Linked DNA regions of Arabidopsis thaliana. The protein of the gene in region 1 interacts with the protein of each later gene in a pairwise test. Each region holds a gene or a part of one and is shown in the gene's direction. Other genes may lie near its edges. The genes, in order: ERD4, AT5G49540, PAP3 and IQD6.

Evidence for each region.
Region 2: the proteins of ERD4 (region 1) and AT5G49540 interact in a protein complementation assay, tested with the Arabidopsis thaliana proteins (one large-scale study listed by BioGRID).
Region 3: the proteins of ERD4 (region 1) and PAP3 interact in a protein complementation assay, tested with the Arabidopsis thaliana proteins (one large-scale study listed by BioGRID).
Region 4: the proteins of ERD4 (region 1) and IQD6 interact in a protein complementation assay, tested with the Arabidopsis thaliana proteins (one large-scale study listed by BioGRID).

Annotation. Positions count from the first base shown.
Region 1 is NC_003070.9:10,713,201-10,719,738, forward strand, and holds ERD4 (Early-responsive to dehydration stress protein (ERD4)), read left to right. Parts: upstream 1-2,281; 5' UTR 2,282-2,691; coding exon 2,692-2,962; intron 2,963-3,333; coding exon 3,334-3,491; intron 3,492-3,585; coding exon 3,586-3,861; intron 3,862-3,958; coding exon 3,959-4,788; intron 4,789-4,871; coding exon 4,872-5,127; intron 5,128-5,215; coding exon 5,216-5,599; 3' UTR 5,600-5,797; downstream 5,798-6,538. Other genes in the region: DLAH (alpha/beta-Hydrolases superfamily protein), read right to left, coding at 5,969-6,538. UniProt on the Arabidopsis thaliana protein: Acts as a hyperosmolarity-gated non-selective cation channel that permeates Ca(2+) ions. Mechanosensitive ion channel that converts mechanical stimuli into a flow of ions: activated in response to membrane stretch. Not activated in response to membrane poke.
Region 2 is NC_003076.8:20,103,740-20,108,562, reverse strand, and holds AT5G49540 (Rab5-interacting family protein), read left to right. Parts: upstream 1-2,284; 5' UTR 2,285-2,578; intron 2,579-2,937; 5' UTR 2,938-2,953; coding exon 2,954-3,051; intron 3,052-3,149; coding exon 3,150-3,345; intron 3,346-3,455; coding exon 3,456-3,475; coding exon of another isoform or gene 3,476-3,485; exon of another isoform or gene 3,486-3,728; coding exon 3,729-3,759; 3' UTR 3,760-4,082; downstream 4,083-4,823. Other genes in the region: AT5G49555 (FAD/NAD(P)-binding oxidoreductase family protein), read left to right, coding at 96-211, 315-427, 490-569, 663-783, 874-940, 1,023-1,152; BLOS2 (biogenesis of lysosome organelles complex 1 subunit-like protein), read left to right, coding at 1,407-1,490, 1,562-1,861; AT5G49530 (SIN-like family protein), read right to left, coding at 4,321-4,380, 4,468-4,588, 4,679-4,823.
Region 3 is NC_003070.9:5,056,601-5,062,114, forward strand, and holds PAP3 (purple acid phosphatase 3), read left to right. Parts: upstream 1-1,982; 5' UTR 1,983-2,079; coding exon 2,080-2,367; exon of another isoform or gene 2,368-2,785; intron 2,786-2,872; coding exon 2,873-3,029; intron 3,030-3,125; coding exon 3,126-3,233; intron 3,234-3,329; coding exon 3,330-3,457; intron 3,458-3,760; coding exon 3,761-3,889; intron 3,890-3,983; coding exon 3,984-4,051; coding exon of another isoform or gene 4,052-4,055; exon of another isoform or gene 4,056-4,165; coding exon 4,166-4,388; 3' UTR 4,389-4,540; downstream 4,541-5,514.
Region 4 is NC_003071.7:11,142,631-11,147,159, reverse strand, and holds IQD6 (IQ-domain 6), read left to right. Parts: upstream 1-2,056; 5' UTR 2,057-2,177; coding exon 2,178-2,243; intron 2,244-2,317; coding exon 2,318-2,545; intron 2,546-2,622; coding exon 2,623-2,850; intron 2,851-2,922; coding exon 2,923-3,036; intron 3,037-3,112; coding exon 3,113-3,727; 3' UTR 3,728-3,870; downstream 3,871-4,529. Other genes in the region: CYP711A1 (cytochrome P450, family 711, subfamily A, polypeptide 1), read right to left, coding at 3,890-4,219, 4,302-4,397, 4,490-4,529. UniProt on the Arabidopsis thaliana protein: May be involved in cooperative interactions with calmodulins or calmodulin-like proteins. Recruits calmodulin proteins to microtubules, thus being a potential scaffold in cellular signaling and trafficking.

The DNA of each region.
Region 1 (6,538 bases):
TACCCTATGTAAAAGCTACTAAAATCCGCATCATACAAAGGCGTTTTACATAAAGTTGTAAAACAAAGTTTACATCTTTTTAACTAAAAGTATGTACTATTGATGTCTATTCCTTATCCAATGGTATTACTTAACGCATTCATTGAGTAATATTTTTCTTTATATGAGGAAGAATAGTGATCATATGGTACGGTTGCTAACACTTTAAATTTAGATATTTTCAGTCTCTTAACAAAAACTTCTATATAAATTTTTGCTAATACAACTTATTAAAATAGACACTTGAGAAATTTCATTGATATTTGAAATATCATTTAATACCGTAAGTAGAAGAAACTAGATGAAGTGGTGGGTCTTTGTATGTGTACATGTCGACGTGAAAATAGAAGAGAAATAAATATCAGCAAAAGGGCTTTGGACCGGATCAATAGCCACCTAACCAAATCTGTGAACGGCGTTACTTTCAAATAACAAATACTAACAGAAATATCATTGTAGATAAGACTTTAGGGTCTTCGATCGACATATAATAAAGATAAGGTTTGGGACCCTTTCAAGCTTTTTTTCGGTGTCGGCAATGAAGTTTTACGTCGAGGTGGCATTAACAACTGGACAACGGCTTTTTGTTTTGTTTTGGGGTCTCTTTTGTCTTGTGAATAACAACTTTTATCACATTCGCATAAATTATATATAGATTTATGAATTTATTCTCCCAAATTAATGGTTTGTCTCAGTGGAAATCTACTGTTTTGTCCAGTGACTTGTGTTATCTATTTAATTCAGTTGGATGCCAAAAATAACATATATTTTCGATCTATCTATTGTGGATTTTACCCGATCGACATAAAAGGAATTAAGGACCGGTATTGGACCAATATTACATGACTGGTCATGCATGGAAACACACCAAACAAAACAATAAATTTTCTTTGTATAAAAAAAGAAAACCAATAATTTATTTATCTTCTGATTAAAATATGGCGAAGAGATATACACTAGTATTAAAATTTAAAACAATAGAATGAGGTAAAACATAAATACAGCATGTCGTGGACGTCTTTCGATTGTTTTTAGTTCTTTTTTTTTGGTTTTATATTTCAAAACTTGTTGAAACTGCATAAAAGTTTTTTTTTTGTGTGGATCCCCGTAATTTTTATTCTACACACGTACAAGACAATTTTTTCTTACGTAAACTATACAAACATATAAAGTGCATGTGACTGGTGAATGCTTATAATAAAATACAAATAAAATAATGTGTGATTGGTGGAATATTTAGAGTAAAAGAAGAATGAATATAGAGGAATATTGATATTGGAGGAAATAAAAATATGAATTAGAGTACCCAAATAACTGGTATTCCCTACAAGCAGTCAACAAAACTAAGGAAAAAAAAACCAAGGAAAAAAGAAGAAAAAATTGTTTTGTTTCTGTTGAGTGGACAAGTTATGAGATTAGAATTCAAATATCCGTTCAAGTTAAAGCATGGAATCACGAATGCTCCACATCTCAAAGAAGAAATTGAACTCTTTCTAATCTTAGAATTCAAAGAAACGTAGAGGAGTCTGATGAGATGTGGTTGGTTGCTATTACCTCTGATTGAATTTGATCACATACAAAATAACATTCGATCTTGATGTGTTTCGTAGGCTTTTGTGTAAAATCAGATGCATATATTTGTTTCAAGGGTCGTCTCCACTAGAGTAAAATGACGCATATCATCAAGAATGCTTTTCCACCACATTACTTACGACACAGTCAATATTCAACTTCGACATAAACGAACCTATTTCGCAAATTGTTTATGAGTTATTCAAATTATGTAAATTTAATATACTATCATATATTTTATAAAGATGTCTATTAAGTAAAAGGATGAAAACATATATTATTTGAAAAACCGGATTTCAGATGAAATTACTAGTTTAAATCAAAATATGCTTTGATTTATATAGTAATACAAGTATTTTTTTGAACTTAAATTGTTATATGATTGATATGTCACCATAACCGTAAATATTTGCGAAATAAAGGTAATTTCTTACCATATGTTTTTCCAAATATTAAGAGATACATTAAACATGTCATACTGATCAAAGATCTCTAAGTAGTAGTAAATAAGGTTTACGAGTACTTTTTTGAAACAAACCTAGAAAATAGAAGGGAATAGAAGAAACTTCAAAAGCACAAAAAGAGAAAAATCCAAAGAATAATTTATTATACAATAAAATAAAAACGTATAAAAAAGGGAACAAAATGGGTAAAGAGAGGAGGAGGAGGACCCTGAAGTAGGGTTAAAAAATCCATCTCCTTTGGTGTCTCTATCATCAACACCTGTCGGCCTTGTCACTTAAACACGCTCTTCACTCTCTTCTCACACACCTCTCCTTCTCCTTCTCCCACCATTTAATCAATTCCACAATATTCAATTTTTCCAGTCTCCTCCGTTACACAATTCCACAAAGAGATTAAACAAACAATAGAAAAATATCTTCCTTTCTTTTTCTGTGAATACACCAATAAAGTGACAAAAGAAAAAGCCTGTCTTCTCTCACCTGTAATTACCAGAAGACAATATAAACTGTTACTTTCCTTCTTTTGTTGTACCCCTTTAAAAACGGCTACTTTAGAGAACTTGAGAAGATTTAGAAAGAAACAGAGAGCTTGAGAGATTCCTCTGGCTAAACCCAGATGGAGTTTGGATCTTTTCTTGTGTCCTTAGGGACATCTTTTGTTATCTTCGTCATTCTCATGCTTCTCTTCACCTGGCTTTCTCGCAAATCTGGAAATGCTCCCATTTATTACCCGAATCGGATCCTTAAAGGGCTGGAGCCATGGGAAGGCACCTCCTTGACTCGAAACCCTTTTGCTTGGATGCGTGAAGCTTTGACTTCCTCTGAACAAGATGTCGTTAACTTATCCGGCGTCGATACTGCTGTCCACTTTGTCTTCTTGAGCACTGGTTCGATCTCAATCTCTCTCTGTTCATCTCTGTTCTCTGTTACTTTAGTGGTTCCAATTCAAGGGTTTGGTGGAATTCTGCTGATTTCTGTTGGTTTTGATTTGGGTTTGAGATTTAACCTAATAAAGTTTCGATCTTTAGAGACAATTGGGGGAAAAAACGTTTCAAAATGGAAACTTTTTTGTTTGTAAATTGCTGGCTCTGACTATTTTGTTTGCTATGTTATGTTATCTCTGTTTTACTTTTAGACATTGGTGATTGAAATTAGAATCAGTAGATAGAACTTTTTGAAGTCTATATATACGAGCCAGTGATTTTGGTGAAGGTAAAGTGTTTATGATGTCTTGAAAATTGGCTTTTGTTTGATGCAGTTCTGGGGATATTTGCTTGTTCCAGTCTTCTTCTCCTACCAACTCTACTGCCTCTAGCCGCTACAGACAACAACATAAAGAACACAAAGAATGCGACAGATACCACAAGCAAAGGAACTTTTAGCCAACTTGATAATCTATCAATGGCTAACATCACAGTAAGTAAACACAACAATAACTCCATTCTGCCTATTGATTCATTTTCAGTTTTTGATAGTCTAAAGCAAAATGTGTATCCTTTCATTTGAACAGAAAAAAAGTTCGAGGCTGTGGGCGTTCCTAGGAGCTGTTTACTGGATATCTTTGGTCACATATTTCTTCTTGTGGAAAGCTTATAAGCATGTCTCTTCATTGAGAGCTCAAGCTCTGATGTCTGCTGATGTAAAACCCGAGCAATTCGCTATTCTTGTTAGGGATATGCCTGCACCACCTGACGGGCAGACACAGAAAGAGTTTATTGATTCTTATTTCAGAGAAATATACCCTGAGACATTCTACAGATCGCTTGTCGCAACAGAAAACAGCAAGGTATCTACTTGTTCTGGCCTAAGAAAGTCATATGTTTTAAGGTTTTAGGCATCATAATGTTAATATGTTAACCTTTGCTCTTTGTTGTGTTGTATAGGTTAATAAAATATGGGAAAAATTGGAAGGTTACAAGAAGAAGCTTGCGCGAGCAGAAGCAATATTAGCAGCAACTAATAACCGTCCCACGAACAAAACCGGCTTCTGTGGGCTAGTCGGTAAACAAGTAGACAGCATTGAGTATTACACTGAGCTAATCAACGAGTCTGTAGCCAAACTGGAAACAGAGCAGAAAGCGGTTCTTGCTGAGAAGCAGCAAACCGCAGCAGTGGTTTTCTTCACAACCAGGGTTGCTGCTGCATCAGCAGCTCAGTCTCTGCACTGCCAGATGGTTGATAAATGGACTGTGACCGAAGCTCCTGAGCCACGGCAGCTCCTATGGCAGAATCTCAACATCAAGCTCTTCAGCAGAATAATCCGGCAATACTTCATCTACTTCTTTGTTGCAGTGACCATTCTGTTTTACATGATACCAATCGCGTTCGTCTCTGCCATCACCACTCTTAAGAATCTTCAGAGGATTATTCCGTTCATAAAGCCGGTTGTGGAGATAACCGCCATAAGAACCGTTTTGGAGTCTTTCCTTCCTCAGATTGCGCTCATTGTTTTCTTGGCCATGTTGCCGAAGCTTCTCTTGTTTCTCTCCAAAGCCGAGGGGATTCCTTCACAGAGCCATGCCATTAGGGCTGCTTCAGGGAAGTACTTTTACTTCTCGGTCTTTAATGTCTTCATTGGTGTTACCCTTGCTGGGACTTTGTTCAACACAGTGAAGGATATCGCGAAAAATCCCAAACTCGACATGATTATTAACCTTTTGGCTACTAGCCTCCCTAAGAGCGCAACTTTCTTCCTGACCTACGTTGCTCTCAAGTGAGATTTTGGTCTTCTTGACTTAAATAGCATATGTATTGTTCGTTTGTTCCCTAAATCTTATGTTGATGATTTTTTTTCAGGTTCTTTATCGGTTATGGCCTTGAGCTGTCTCGGATCATACCTTTGATAATCTTCCACCTGAAAAAGAAGTATCTCTGCAAAACCGAAGCGGAGGTCAAAGAAGCTTGGTACCCGGGAGACTTAAGCTATGCGACTAGGGTTCCCGGAGACATGCTCATCCTCACAATCACGTTCTGCTATTCAGTCATTGCTCCTCTTATCCTCATATTCGGCATCACCTACTTTGGTTTAGGCTGGCTAGTCCTCAGGAATCAGGTCAGACTTTCTCTCTATTTACTATACCCATAAACACTTAGGTTATCAAAAATGTGATCTTGAACTGTTTTATTTCGGGGTATGACAGGCGTTGAAAGTGTACGTTCCATCATACGAGAGCTATGGAAGAATGTGGCCGCATATTCACCAGCGCATACTAGCAGCGTTGTTTCTATTCCAAGTGGTAATGTTTGGCTACTTAGGAGCCAAGACATTCTTCTACACGGCCCTTGTGATCCCTCTCATTATCACCTCTCTCATCTTCGGATATGTGTGCCGCCAGAAATTCTACGGAGGGTTCGAACACACAGCTCTCGAGGTAGCTTGCCGTGAGCTGAAGCAGAGTCCAGACCTAGAGGAGATTTTCAGAGCATACATTCCGCATAGCTTGAGCTCTCACAAACCAGAAGAACACGAGTTCAAAGGCGCAATGTCTCGTTATCAAGATTTCAACGCAATAGCAGGCGTTTAAAATTTGAATCCAATCCCCAAATTATCTCATAGATTTGTTTTGCTGGTTTTTTAGAAGCTTTTATTGTTATGTGTGTGAATTTTAGGGTTTGTTTAGGATTCTTCTTTGTATGTGTTCCATGGTTGTTGTAACTTGTAACTTTGTAAGCTACTTTTAAACATCAACTTGATTTTTCATCATTAATATTCTTCTACTCTGATGTTCTGATTTCTTTAGCTGATGCAAATTGTATTTAAAGTAGTTTCAAACATATATACATTATTGTCACAGCTTGATCTATATTCATTGAACTGAAATGTTGTAACCAAAATTCACAAGGACTAAAGATTCAAGAAAACGAATGAATGGAATGGAAAATAAATTTATTTCTCATAAGCTATAAATAGGTTTTGGTCCGGTCGGTAACGGAGAGGGAATGTCTTCAGGTGCACGGACAGGCTTCACCCACCGGCCAGTCTGTTTGTTAAGGATCAGACCCTTATGTGCCACTTGGTACCAAAACTCAGGTATTCTTAGATGATCCAACAACATATCTGTGCTCTTGTTCACCGAAGCAACGTCTCTCCTAGCGTTAACCCTAAACCCAGATTTCTTGCGGTGGAAGCCATCCAAAACATGGAGATACACCTCTAGATTATGAGCCCTCCCTAAGTCTGAATCACGTTTTACGTAAGGCGAACTGAAGACATCGAGTTTAAGCTGCGTTCCGACATGCCTGTAGACCCAATTGAGCCTTGAAGTTATCGGATTAAGTTTGTTAAGTACCTTGTTGAACACGATACCAGGTAGCTTAGGTACAATGTCTTGCTTGTTCACCACACGTAACACCTTAACTCCTAAACTGTTTAGCTTTTCCTTGAATGCCAAGTTACCTACCCTCGGCGCACCAAACGAGATCACTGAAATGTTACCAGATAACGCTGGAACATCTCTAGCCGC
Region 2 (4,823 bases), on another chromosome or scaffold:
GAAGATAGATTTCTCTATAGGCGGAATTGGTTTTTTTTTTAATTACACCATCTAGCTAATTATCTGGTGATTTGTTGTTTAATTGTTGTGAACAGGCAACTACCAAAATAAACTTGGCTGTTGACAAGTTACCACAGTTCCAGTGCTGCAACACAAATCATTCAGGTCCAGGTCCAGAGCATTTTGGCACTATACACATTGGTGCAGAGAGGTATCATTCGTGCTAATTTGTTCCTCATTATATGTATCTCGAAGAACAAATAATAATACAAATAAAAGTGATCAATGGCTCTGTTCTATCTTCTCTCTGTCAGCATGGACGAGGTTCACTCAGCATGTCATGATTCTGAAAATGGCTTACCATCGAGAAGACCAGTGATCGAAATGACTATTCCATCCACACTAGACAACACCATTTCTCCCCCAGGTACACATTCTCCCCCTTTTGCTTGTTTAGGATTTGAACTCTGAATGTGATTTTGTATGTAGGGAAGCATGTAATCAACTTGTTCATCCAGTACACTCCTTACAAGCCCTCAGATGGAAGCTGGGAAGATCCTACTTACCGAGTTAGTTTGTTATACACGCTTGGCTAAACATTCCTTTACACTACAAGACATGCCAAACCCATCTGGATTTGCTTTTGCTTGTGTAAAAATCAGGAAGCCTTTGCACAAAGGTGTTTCAAACTGATTGATGAATATGCACCCGGGTTTAGCTCATCCATCATTAGCTACGACATGTTGACTCCTCCGGACCTGGAACGGGAAATTGGTCTAACAGGTATATAAAGTGAAGTACTTGGAGAAAGATCCCAAGTACATGCGACATGGCCAAACCATATTGACATGACTGCCCATTTGTATTCTGCAGGCGGAAACATCTTTCACGGTGCCATGGGATTAGACTCTCTCTTCCTGATGCGCCCTGTGAAAGGATGGTACGTGACTCCGAAGTACTCAAAACAGTCTTTACGATTTATGATTATGAAATTCAAAACTTTGTTGGACTGTGTGAAACAGGTCAAATTACAGAAGCCCTTTGAAAGGTCTCTACTTGTGTGGCAGCGGAGCTCATCCTGGAGGCGGAGTTATGGGTGCACCTGGAAGAAACGCTGCACATGTTGTTCTTCAAGACTTGAAAAGAATCTAGCGAGTATAATCTCAGACTGTGCAATGTTAACTCTCATGTGTAAGTTGTTTGTTACTGCTCTGAAAACCTCTGTCGTAGGGAGAGGCTTACAGACATGGACAATAGTTGATATCAACGAATAATAAGCCTCCACGTGTAGCTTAACCTAAATATCACTAATTCAACAAATATGGAAAGTGCCCTAAACAACAGAAGAGCCATTGTTTATTTGTCTTTGTCTTTGTCTTTGCGAAAAGAAGTAAATATCCTCATCAATGGCGGATTCACGAGATGATCTAGCTGAATCGCTACAAAATCTATTCACGAGTGTTTCATCTATGGTCAAATCCGAGCTCCAGGTGAAAATCAATCCGAAATTTTACAGATTTATTTGTTTCCACAGATCTGAAATTGAATTGGATAAAAATAGGGAACGAACAACCATCTAGATCTATTGGAGAAGATGAACCTGAGAGTTGCGTCAGAGTACGATGATATGGGTGACGTGGCAGCTGGGCTCAGAGTTTTCGCAGAACAGATGAAATCAAAAAGTGGTGGCTTGGATGAATTTGTAGGACAAATGGATGCTATCGAGAAACAAGTGTCGGAGTTTGAAGCTGTGATCTCTGTTCTAGATCGATATGTCTCTGTCCTAGAATCTAAAATCCGAGCTGAGTATCGTCATCCTCATCATCAGCGTCGCTCTAATGATTCTGTTGTTACAGACTGATGCATTGTAGCAATAATTAATTTTTATCATTACTGAGATTGTTGGAATCGAGATCTGGAATGCTATTTTGGTTTTAGTTGATATTGAAGCTAGATACGAATACGACGAATGATTTTGTCTACATTCGGTTTAAGTTTAACCAAAACTGAAATTTGCATAAATCAATCTGGAACCAAACCAAACGAAAAGCACCTAAGTTTTTTTTTTACCGCTACTCCATATATAACCATTTACCGTACTTACTAATGCATTGGTTAAGTGTTTTGTTAAACATATTAAAACCTCCTAAGCAAACAAAACCAAACCGAATTAATTTCAGTTTGAATGTAATAGCGATGGTTTTATAAAACCAAAACTTGGAACAAACTGAACTGCTCATCTTTAGTAGTAAGTAACGAATTTTCATAATCACAAATTGTGATGTATAATCATGTTATCCGTTTCAATATCAAGAAATTTAACTAGCATAGTTGGAGAGTGTTGTTAATTTTGATTAGTAGTGGACAATCCGGTTTAAGGTTTGGTTCCGGTTCGATTTTACGGTTTATATATTACTTGTTTTCTCTGTGTTTTTCTTTTGTCTAAAAACACTCTAAAGAACTTAAAGATATTCGTCTGATTGTTCTCTCTCAAATTGGCTCATCCTCTCCATTCAATTCATCCCAAGTACCAAAGCAAGCTACTTCGATCTTCCTCTTACTACTCTCGTTTCTAATTGTAAGTCTATATCAATTCCTTTTCCAAAGTTTGTGTAGATCTCAAAGTAGTAGATCGGAAGAGATCGATAAAACCAGATCGATTAATCATAGTTGCTCCCACTCTCGACTACTTAAGAGATAATCATAAAGTCTTAACCTTTAGGAATCGAAATTTATTGTGATGCTTAGATAGCGAAACCCAGTTATAGAATCATTGAATCAATTAGAAACCCCTAATTTTCCTGTGGAAATTTGCTTAAAATCAATACTTTTTTGGGTTTGTAATCTATACACTTACTCTATGATGTCCAAGTTCTTCCTTTTTTGTTACTGTAATGTAAAATCCAATACAAAGATTTGAAATTTATGTTGTTTCAGATTGTTGTTATCTTAAATGGGTTCATCTGAGAAGAGATCAAAGGATATCATGAGTGACATACCAACTTTCAGTGCAGAGAATTTGCAGAACAATTTGAAAGTCATTCAAAACAGGTCTGATTCAATACAATTCTCTCTCTTTCGTTTTCTTAAAAAGATGATGGTTCTCGGGTTTTTTGACTTGTTATCCCTCATTTTGTTCGTGTTTGCAGCCGGACGTTTCTGTCTATCATAGCTGGTGTCTTAGCAGGAATAATTGGATTCAATGGCTTGATTGGTTTTGTATTTTACTTTGTGGTGATGTTGATCACATCTGTTGGGCTCATGGCTAAGGCAGGATTCTCAGCTGACTTGTACTTTGATTCGTGGAATCGGGTTCTTTTTGACGGTTTTCTTGGTGGCCTTATGGTATATCTTCATTTCCTTTTCTTATTACATTGTTTGTTGCTTCAAGATACATGTTGTTGATCCAACCTGTTAATCTCATACTAATCGCGGTGTTGTTTTCTTTTTCGCAGTCGTTTGTGCTGTTCTGGACGTATCCTTAAACTCAATTTGGTGGTCATACTCATTTTATGATAATGTGCAAAACTAAATCAAAGGTTGATTAGCTTTATGGAAAAACATCTATGGTATGGTGTAGGTAAAAATGATTAGCTTCTTAAGAACCTGTGATTAACATAGAAATGGCCTTTTTGTTTACTTCGTGTAGAATCAAGTATATGCGCAACTCGAAAACAGCTCTCTCTATTCTCTGTTTGTCTCAGTAGGTTTCCTTAACAATGGAGTAGATTTGCGTATGACTTGGTGCACATATTCTGAGGGAACTTCTGCTCCAGATGAGGATGGTGAAACGGCACACAAGATTGAGTTCGGGTTTTGCAGCCTCTTCATCTAAACTGAATTAGATTGACAATGTTTCTCTTGTTCCCTTTTTGAACAACAGTTTATGAGTTCGTATTACCTTTTTTTGTTATTTGAGATCACATCAAACTGTGAAAACCTTTAGATTGAAAAGTTTCAAGTATTTACACTTTCTTCCAATTTCATGTGTTCACATTGTTGTTTTCTTTTTTTTTTACATTCTTGCATGTAAAATATATTCGAATATGCTTAAGATTTCAATAGAGAACATTAGAACACTCTCTGTCAAGTTTGAACTTAGCCGTCTATGTGTATTGTATAGTTCTTTTGTTGCTTCTTATGTTTATTTTCCTGTGTTGGTGTGGCTTGTCTTACCAACTCTAGTTGAGTAATAGAAAAAAGGTTGTTTGATTTCAAAAAGGAAAAACAAAATATGAATATCTCATAACTACTGAACCGTTTACTCATATCAAAATTTATAGACCATTAAAATCTAGTCATGATGATTTAATAAACTCATCATCGAGCTTTCTGTAAAACCCATCCTGAAGAGTTGGTTTCACAGATCTCGTGCATCACCTGTCACACAACACACAGAGTTTAGAGACTAAAACTACGCTTTGGTCGAAACACAAAAAAAAAGTCAAAGAGAGCTCAAGTGAAGACCTTTATATATTCGTTGTTGGTGATTTCACGTTCAAGTTTGGTCCTGCCTGCTGCAAATACCTCAGCCTTCATAAGCTTTGTTCCAGGTGGAGATCCGGTTAAGAGGCTAATGACCACTTCCCTGATGATAAAAACAAAAAAAAAAATCAGAGAAATTAGAGATTCAACCGAAATAAAGAACCAATGTGATCATGTTCCAACAAAAAATAACCTCAAAGAATCATATTCAGGATGGTCTGGAGACGATATGGAGACATAAGACCCGTGAATGTTAGTAGCCACTCCATTTATAACGTCTTCGAGCTCGCCCTGGTAAGCATCCACGGCTAGCGCCACATTCACCGCCATTCCTGAAT
Region 3 (5,514 bases), 5.7 Mb from region 1:
ATACAACAATCTTTGTCATAAACTACGTAAAGATAATGAAGTAGCTAGTCCTGTATATATTATCTTATGTTTCCTGGTACTAGTTCTGGTGCGACTGCTAAAATCTAAATTGTCGTCTTTAGATTAACATTTGTTTTTTTTTTCTCTCTATGAAAGTACTAAATTTTCATAGGATAAGCCATTCAAAATATCAATTACAGTGACTATTGAGTATTGACTAATATTATTTGAACTCACAACTCACCTACATGTATTAATGTTTGCATTATTTTAGTGATTGCTAAAACACATAAGTGTCACATGACATATATATCATTGTTTAGGCTAAACATATTATATATATGGTCTATATTATAGATATCGATCCAAGTCTATTAGCCAATCCAACACTAAAACAATCCTCTTGTAAATGAGTAGCTCATGACGACATTATTCTGTTTCATTTTGGAAGCATTAGCATCATTTCCACACACACGTGTTGACCTAAAAAGGCCTATATTTGTTCTATTTATAAAGCCTTAAATTAAAGACTCAAGCAATATCACATGGATCTAATATATAATCATATGTTGCATAGAAAAAAAGAACAAAAAAGAAATAGAGAGAGGTGGTTGAATGATTTAGGCTTTACATCAAACCCACTGTTTCAATAATTTTGTTAGGTGTGTGTGTGTATGTGTGAATACAGCTAGAGAGTTTCACGAAGAAGCTGGTTGGTCAAAACTTTTGACTCGAAAGGAATTGCTGACAAATCGATCAATCAATTTGCTTCAGAGAGAAAAAAAAAACACATAAACACAATTGACATCTCTCTATCTATACGGTCCGATACTAGACTTGGCGAACCAAACTAAAGATACAGTAGGACACTGTGACTGTCTAGGACCACCAGAGATATTCAGTGAAGTTTCTATAGTCATCATAAGTCAATCTTGCTGACTACATCATACTAATAGGAACTATAGTCGTAAGGAACATATATACCACATTAAGCTTGTTTCTTTTGATTAACTCCTCAAGTTGTTTTCAAAATACTCGACGAACTAGACTGAATCAGCAATAAGACCAAACATGTAAAATAAACGTTGCAGAAGTTAATGCTCATTAGTTTTCTCTTTTGTAAGAACATACAAACACACAGGTGACAAGTTTTGGCCAAGAATTACAAAATAATATGATACCTTCATAGTCATACCTCAGAATTAATGTCCTAGTCGAGAAGCAGAAGTTTGTTTTTATAGATCTTTCTTTTCATTAGAGAAATGGGTATCGGCCCAATAACATAGGCCAACCCATTTGCATTTATTTTCTCATATCCAGTAAGGATATACTTTCAAATTTTTGTATAAATGGGATTTTGATTTTTCTTTAATATGTTGAACGAATTTAGTAAACTATTCACATTATTTTATGTTCAGAACTATACTGTAAAATAACTAACGGTCAACAATAATTGAGAGAATTTGGAAGTTTTCGTTAGACTCACATCAATAATGTGACTCAAAGCTAATAATTGCAATTTCCGACAAATTTGTGGCATGGGCGTTTATGCTGTCTTCTACTCTTCTTGTATGACAACGCACATACCCGAGCTTCGTAAATTTTATTTCTATTTTTTTCAAGTATATTTTGTTTTTAAAATGCGATTTTAGAAAGAATTTGTGTGATCAGAATTCACGGTGTAATAATAGTTTGTATGCATACTGTTGTTTGATGTGTCATAATCCAAATTTAGATAATATGTTTATGTATAATGTTAGAAATAAAAATGTAGTAGAAATTTACGTATATTTTCACTGATAATAGAAATTTTCAAATATCCTTAAACTGTCAATATCCAATTTCTTTATGTTTAAAATATTTCAACAGCTAATTTTCAACCGCTATTTATTTTATTTAAATTTATCTTGTCATTATATTTCGTTATTGATAAATATCTGAAAAAGTGGGTGACAAAAAAATTACCGATTCAAATTATTGTAATAAAATTGACAAATCAAAAGATTGAAATAGAAAACAAAAATGGACTACATTTCTCAAAATGGCAAATAATTTTTATTCATATTTATCAACCTCGAAATGACCTACATATATAGAGACACAAAGATCACAACAAAATCAACCATTCCTTTCCTTATCTTCTTCCTCTTTTGCTTTTCTAATCTCTCAATGGCTACCTTAAAACACAAACCTGTAAATTTGGTATTTTACGTTTATAATTTGATTATTATATTCTCCTCCCATAGTTCCACGGCGGAGCTCCGCAGGCTACTGCAGCCATCAAAAACCGATGGTACAGTGAGCTTTCTCGTTATCGGAGACTGGGGAAGAAGAGGCTCCTATAATCAGTCCCAAGTAGCTCTTCAGGTTACTTCTTATTTTCATTTACAAGTTATTTACTATATTTCTCGCCTGTACGCATATATATAAATATATAATGCAAATTCAATAGTGTATAATTAATACGTATTACGTAAACATATATATGCGTATGCCTTCAAGAGCATACGTGATATGAGGATCAAATTTACTGGTCTTCATATTAATGCCGGCCCTTATGTTTTTATATTATTCTTTTTTTTTCTTTTTTTTATTATTATTATTCAATTTCAATATATATTACTAATTCTTGAACACCATGTTATAAGATACCATAAAAAGAAAGAAAGTCATGTTAGAGGAACTTGAAAGATTCGGTCTGTGTTAAGAAAACAGCTTTAGTGTACGAAGATATTCTACATATGATTTTTGTTTGTACTGTTGTTTTGCAGATGAACTCAATGTGGTAAATTTTATGCTAGTTTGATGTTTTCTTTTATACTGTTGTTTTTAGTTATTTTATGCTAAATTATTTCACACGAAATTTAAACAGATGGGAGAAATCGGAGAGAAATTAGATATCGATTTTGTGATTTCTACTGGAGATAATTTTTACGACAATGGTTTAACCAGCTTGCACGATCCTCTATTTCAAGATTCTTTTACCAACATTTATACCGCTCCGAGCTTGCAGAAACCTTGGTATAGTGGTAAATGTGTGGTTCAATGTGTACATTCGTCGTTGGATCTTAATTATTAAACGATATGTGGTTCAATGTGTTAATTACATTTTCTTTAACCTAAAGTTTTAGGAAATCATGATTATAGAGGTGACGTCAGGGCACAACTTAGCCCTATGCTCAGAGCTCTGGACAACAGATGGGTTTGCATGAGATCTTTCATTGTAAATGCTGGTAATTCCTCCTATATAATATTTCTTCAAAAGTTAGAAATATTTTATTAATCCTCCAATTATTTTTTTATTTTTGTTAATTTCGTTAACTGAACAGAGATCGTCGATTTGTTCTTCGTCGACACAACTCCGTTCGTCGATAAATACTTTATTCAACCAAATAAGCATGTTTATGACTGGAGCGGTGTATTACCTAGGCAAACATATCTGAATAATCTCTTAAAGGTAACAATTTTTTAAGTAAATCTTCCTTTCTTTCTTTTTTCGTCGAAATAGAATTAATATTAACTTAGGAACGTCATTATATACGTGTTTTGGGCAAAACATTCCTTTTTCTTTTGTTATGATTGGATTTTTTTATAAAGTTATGATTGGATGTTAAACGCAGCTTTTATTTTGTCTATTTTCAAATGGAATCGCGTTTTAATTAGGTATGTAATGCGATATGATTAGAGAACAATCTGCCAATGCAACTTTTTTTCTTTTTACGAGCGAGTGACTAACGAAAGCTATAATGTAATAATATAGGAACTCGACGTGGCGTTGAGAGAGTCAGTCGCAAAGTGGAAAATAGTGATTGGTCACCATACGATCAAAAGCGCAGGCCACCACGGGAACACCATTGAGTTGGAGAAACACCTTTTACCTATTCTCCAAGTAACAAAACCATTCCATTCATATAATAAAGTTTATGCACCAATAGAAAAAATCTATCTAATTAAATCTGTTTTTTTTGTTCTCGATTTACTAGGCAAATGAAGTGGATCTCTACGTAAACGGACATGATCATTGCTTAGAGCACATAAGCAGCGTGGACAGGTAGAATAAATTTATTTATTTGTTCGTTAATTATTTTCTTATTAATCAATTATTGTAACGTAAGGGTCCACGTACGGGAGGATATAAAATGTCACCATTTTTGGTTGCATATAGTAACATACAATTTATGACAAGTGGAGGTGGATCCAAGGCCTGGAAAGGAGGTGACGTGAACTACGTTGAACCAGAAGAGATGAGGTTTTACTACGACGGACAAGGTTTCATGTCGGTTCACGTTTCAGAAGCTGAACTGCGTGTAGTCTTTTATGATGTTTTTGGACACGTTCTGCATCATTGGAAGAAGACTTACAAGGAGGCGCTTTATTTCGCTTCTTGATTCCAATTTAATCGGACGTAATTGTTTATGATCGATGTACTATGAAATTATCAATATCGTACTTCGTCGAATTTTCGAATCACATTATGATATGACAAGAACATATCAGCAGCATCAGAAAAAAAAGTCAATGAAATCTTTATTGCGTAAAAGTACAGTTTCAAACAAGATATTATTGAAAATTTGTAAGATGTGAGATTAACTAGAAATACTGCATGCATATACTGTATATACATATCGAATCTAAGCATATTAAAATGTAAATATCATCCTCTCTTACGCTTCCATATTAATTAAGTTAATTAATTTTCGTTATTCTTATCCAATTTGATTAACAAGTTTTCCCGAAGCATGCGTGCATACAGTACTCTTGTGTAGTTTGTAGGGACACAAAATGGGTCCGATTCTCATCTATAAAGATAGATAATGATTTTGTTACATGTCTTTTGTCCTGTGCTCAGATTCTCTTCAATCATGTAATATATATAGATAAGTTATAGTGAATTATGGATTATATGATAAGATAAATGATATACAACTCTATGTTGTGGATGAGATTCTGTCACATAATTTCACAAGCCCCGGATCTCTCATATTTGATCGCAAGAACACTTTTGCTCATACCAAAATTATCTCCCAAAAGAAATATAATAGTCATTCTATTAAGGCTTATCTTATTTTACTTTTGGTGAGACTTAATAGAGTGGACAAAGGAATGAAGACATGGGCCACTGCCATGAACCATGGGACCGAACACACAGCTGAACTTGTATCACACAACAGAGATAAAGGCTTCATATCTTAGCTTTCGAATCCCAAAAAATATTCCAAGAAGAAAAAAAAAAAGTAACTTTCTTGAGAATCTTGAGACACTTTGGAGAAAAACAAAGGTATATATATATATGCATGTGTAAGAAGATATTATGATTCAGTCGAAACGAGGCAGAGATAGAATTTGAATAGAAAGGAAAGGATATAGATGAATGATTTTAGAGAAGAGAGTAGAAAACGGGTAACTTTTCCTTGTTTTGACTCTCCTAAAAATAATTTCTCAAGTGGCAAAAACAAAACGACATTTCATCGAATTCACCGCTCTTTTAACAGTTTGTAAACTGCACCTCAGATT
Region 4 (4,529 bases), on another chromosome or scaffold:
GTACTAAACTACTAATAGGCAGTACTGCTAATAGGTAACGAAAATACGAAGACTTTTTCTTACCGCCATGCAAAAAGTTGACAATGAAGGCGAAGTTGCAAAACCTCAATTGAAGAAAGTTGATTATATCAGAAAAGTCAACAACGGACAAATAATATTGGATATGAAGAAATCCAACCTAGTCCAACAGTAGAGAAACCATAAGTTTAGTCAAATTCCAAAGAAAGCTCCAACAACTAAAGAAGTTAAAAAAGGATTTTGACTATCTCTTCTCTCTACCTTCAAAGATATGTGAAAAACGACCCAAAGCCAAAGTTACACTCCTATGTCTAAAGAATTCGTTTGCCGAAAGTGATCCGCTTAATATGATCTAAAATTATTTACAATAGAGAGTGTTGAATTGATTTAATAGGATATTGCAAATGATGATGAAAATGAGGTGGATTAAATTGTGTTAAAAAACAATAGTTGGTTTTGATTTGCTTTTTTTTTTTGGTATCAGGAATTCAATCTCTGGATTTCATCGTCAATGTATTATGATCCTCAATTGAAAAATGGCAAAAGATTTTATTTAATACAATATTTTTGTGTTCTCTCTTCTAATTCATTTCATGGGTTTCATGTAGAGTCTGTTTCCAATTTATTTATTTGTGTGTTGTAATACTCTATGATTTTGATTTATTTTTAGTTTGTAACATATTGTTTCTATCTCATTTCCTCTTTAAGAGCTATGCCACCACCATTCTGGTTGATTTGTGAGTTAGCACATTAATCGCTAATGTACATCATATCAGAAACAACTCTTGACTCGATTTTTTTTACTTTCATTGTATGTTTAATGTAGTTTTTTCTTCAACATTGGGCCACAATTGGCCGGCCCATTAGCCAGACAAACAACTCTTGGATCGAATTTTTTTCCTTTCATTGTGTATTTCATGTAGTTTTTTTTCAACATTGGGCCACAATTGTCCGGCCCATTAGCCAAATCCCTACATTTGTATCGAGCGGGACTCAATCCCAAGTGTGATGGTGCATGTTTTCGGTGGTACATGTTTTCATGTAATTTTTGTTTTATTATTTTAAGAAGTTATCATCAATTAGAATTAATTGTATATATCTCATTTTCATTGTATAGCTAAGGACCCAATCTTTACAGAGTTCATCTTTTTTCTCTGTCTGATTAATCTTTTTTTTTTATTATGTCTAATTAATCTTAAAGTTGCTAGACAAATAGATTCATGTACAAGATTCACTCAAACTAAATATGAGCGAGAAAAAATAGTATATATATTGAAAACTAAATTTGGGAGATACATGGGCATTTTTTTCGATTCTTTAACTCGTGAATTTAGGTTGTTCTTTTGTCGTTTCAGTTGTTGTTTTTTTGTATCAATCACTCGTGAATTTAGTTTTTTTATGAGAGCATAATTTATTATAATTTGCAATAGAGTTGTAAAGTTTAAATTGCTATAACGCTGTTTTGTGGAGAGTTAAATAGGGTGTTGACTGTTGAGTCATAAGACCAATGTGTATGGTCTTAGAAAGAAAACCTTGTCATAATTATATAAGATAATAAGTTCTGTTATAGAGGTTATTAGACAAGTGATAGGTCTAACCAGTCCAAATCACAAAATCCAAAAGCTAAACATTGCTTTTCGAAAGAGAATGTATTTCGTAAATCTGATTTGCAACATTTTGGGAAGTTTAAATTTCGAATCCAATGATATAAGAATAATAAAACAAAACAAGGTATTACATGAACATGAGTGAGTCACTGTAAAAAGTAAAAAACAACAAAAAGCCTAACATACATATATATATATATTTATTAATTTATTGTACCTTTTCATGGTTTCTTTTTTCATGCCTGTAACTCTGAGAAGGACACAGACACATTTGTTTGTGTAAGTAATAAATAAGTGTGAAAACACAATCAGAGACAAAAGCCTAAAGACTCGAGCAAACTTTTTATTAATATTTTGTTTGTTGCTTTGCTTTGATTTGTTCAAATTTCAAAAACTTCTCTTTAACCCACCACTCCCTCCATTACCACCACAACTTCACATTCTCCGATATTCTCTCTCTCTCTATCAATCTCTCACTCTCAAACTTTCTACATACCTGAAGAAAAAAATAATCTACGAATTCGAGCCAAAAAGATCGAAACTTTTTAATCTATGGGTGCTTCAGGGAAATGGGTCAAGTCCATTATCGGTCTCAAGAAGCTAGAGAAGGATGAAATCGTAAGTTCATTATCTTTTTTTTTTGTTCTCTCGTTCAAAGGTTAAAGCTTTATCGAGAGATACTCTGTTTTCAGGAAAAGGGTAATGGGAAAAACAAGAAATGGAAGCTATGGAGGACTACTTCAGTAGATTCATGGAAGGGTTTTCGAGGAAAACATCGGTCTGATTCAGACGGTGTTGATTCTTCTACTGTTTACTCTGCTGCTGTTGCTACTGTTCTTAGAGCTCCTCCTAAAGATTTCAAAGCTGTTAGAGAAGAATGGGCTGCTATTAGAATCCAAACCGCTTTTCGTGGATTCTTGGTGAGTTTGCTAATTGGTTTTGATTAGAATTGAGAGGAATAGAACTTAGTTTAATTTGAGGATTTGTTGTTAATTAGGCGAGAAGAGCGTTGAGGGCATTGAAAGGGATAGTGAGGTTACAAGCTTTAGTGAGAGGAAGACAAGTTAGGAAACAAGCAGCTGTTACATTGAGATGCATGCAAGCTTTGGTGAGAGTACAAGCTCGTGTTAGAGCTCGTCGTGTGAGGATGACTGTTGAAGGACAAGCTGTTCAAAAGCTTTTAGATGAACATAGAACCAAATCTGATCTCTTGAAAGAAGTCGAGGTTCTTGTCTTTACCTTTTTAGCTCATTGGTTTGATGATTGTTTATTGTTTTGAGATTTGTTATGTTCTCAGGAAGGGTGGTGTGATAGGAAAGGTACTGTGGATGATATTAAGTCAAAGTTGCAGCAGAGACAAGAAGGTGCTTTTAAGAGGGAACGTGCTTTGGCTTATGCTCTTGCTCAAAAGGTAACTAACTTGTCCACATTCAACATCTTGTTTAAGTTCGTGTCTGAAGCTGAATCGGGAATCTTGTTTTGTGTAGCAATGGAGGTCAACTACTAGCTCAAACCTTAAGACGAATAGTTCGATTTCGTATCTTAAAAGTCAAGAGTTTGATAAGAATAGTTGGGGATGGAGTTGGTTGGAGCGTTGGATGGCTGCTAGGCCATGGGAGACTAGACTTATGGACACTGTTGATACCGCTGCCACGCCTCCTCCTCTGCCTCATAAACATTTGAAATCACCGGAAACTGCGGATGTTGTTCAAGTTAGAAGAAACAATGTGACCACTAGAGTATCTGCAAAACCTCCTCCTCATATGCTGTCTTCAAGTCCTGGTTATGAGTTTAACGAGAGCTCAGGTTCATCCTCGATTTGTACTTCAACTACGCCTGTTTCTGGAAAAACTGGACTTGTTTCAGATAACTCTAGCAGTCAAGCAAAAAAGCACAAGCCAAGTTACATGAGCTTGACTGAATCGACAAAGGCTAAGCGAAGAACTAACCGCGGTCTCAGGCAATCTATGGATGAGTTTCAGTTTATGAAGAACTCTGGAATGTTTACAGGGGAATTGAAGACTAGTCCTTCCTCAGATCCTTTTGTTAGTTTCTCCAAACCACTCGGTGTTCCTACTCGATTCGAGAAGCCGAGAGGTTAAATGTGACCTTGTTAGATTGGAGTTTCAACAGCTTGTTGTTGTCTTGTGTGTTGTGAGATATCTGTGTATGTTGTTAATTGTTCTTTTTCCTTTGGAACTACATTGGAGTTTTGAATTTAAATATAAATTTCAGTCTTGCTTTTATTTCACTTGTTTCAAGAATCAGAATCTTTTGATGGTTCTGAGCTTAACCCCGTTCTTGAAGCTGAGAATTATACCATAATCAAGCTGCAGTGGTATCTCCATTTCTAGGGAATGTCTGAAAATGTAATTACGGTAGAGATGCAGTAATGTGAGTTTGATCTCTTGCAGGGCAAATCTCTGTCCAACACAGGCTCGTGGACCGATACCGAATGGGATGAAAGCGTATGGATGTCTATGTTTCTCCTCTTCTCCGTTCGGATCAAATCTTTCCGGCTTGAACTTCTCCGGTTCTGGAAAGTTTTTAGGGTCCTTTGCTAGAACTCCTAGTGCTAACCAAACCCATGTCCCCTAAGCAACAACCACAAGGTAAGTAATAGATTACAAGTGCTGACTGTAAATGGACTAATCCGCTTGATGGGTTTGAATATACCTTTGGGAGTAAATAACCTCCTATCTCCACTTCTTTAGCAGTTTCCCTTGCAACCAAAGGAGAAACCATGTAGAATCTCATAGCCTCTTTAATGACCTACAAAGGAGGCAAATAAAAAACATTCATAAAGATTCTAATCTCTCACAGAAACTCAACTTCTCGGTTTTTGTTTGTTACTAATGAAGCACCTGATCGAGGTATGGAAACTTGTGTTGTAAGTCATGAGCA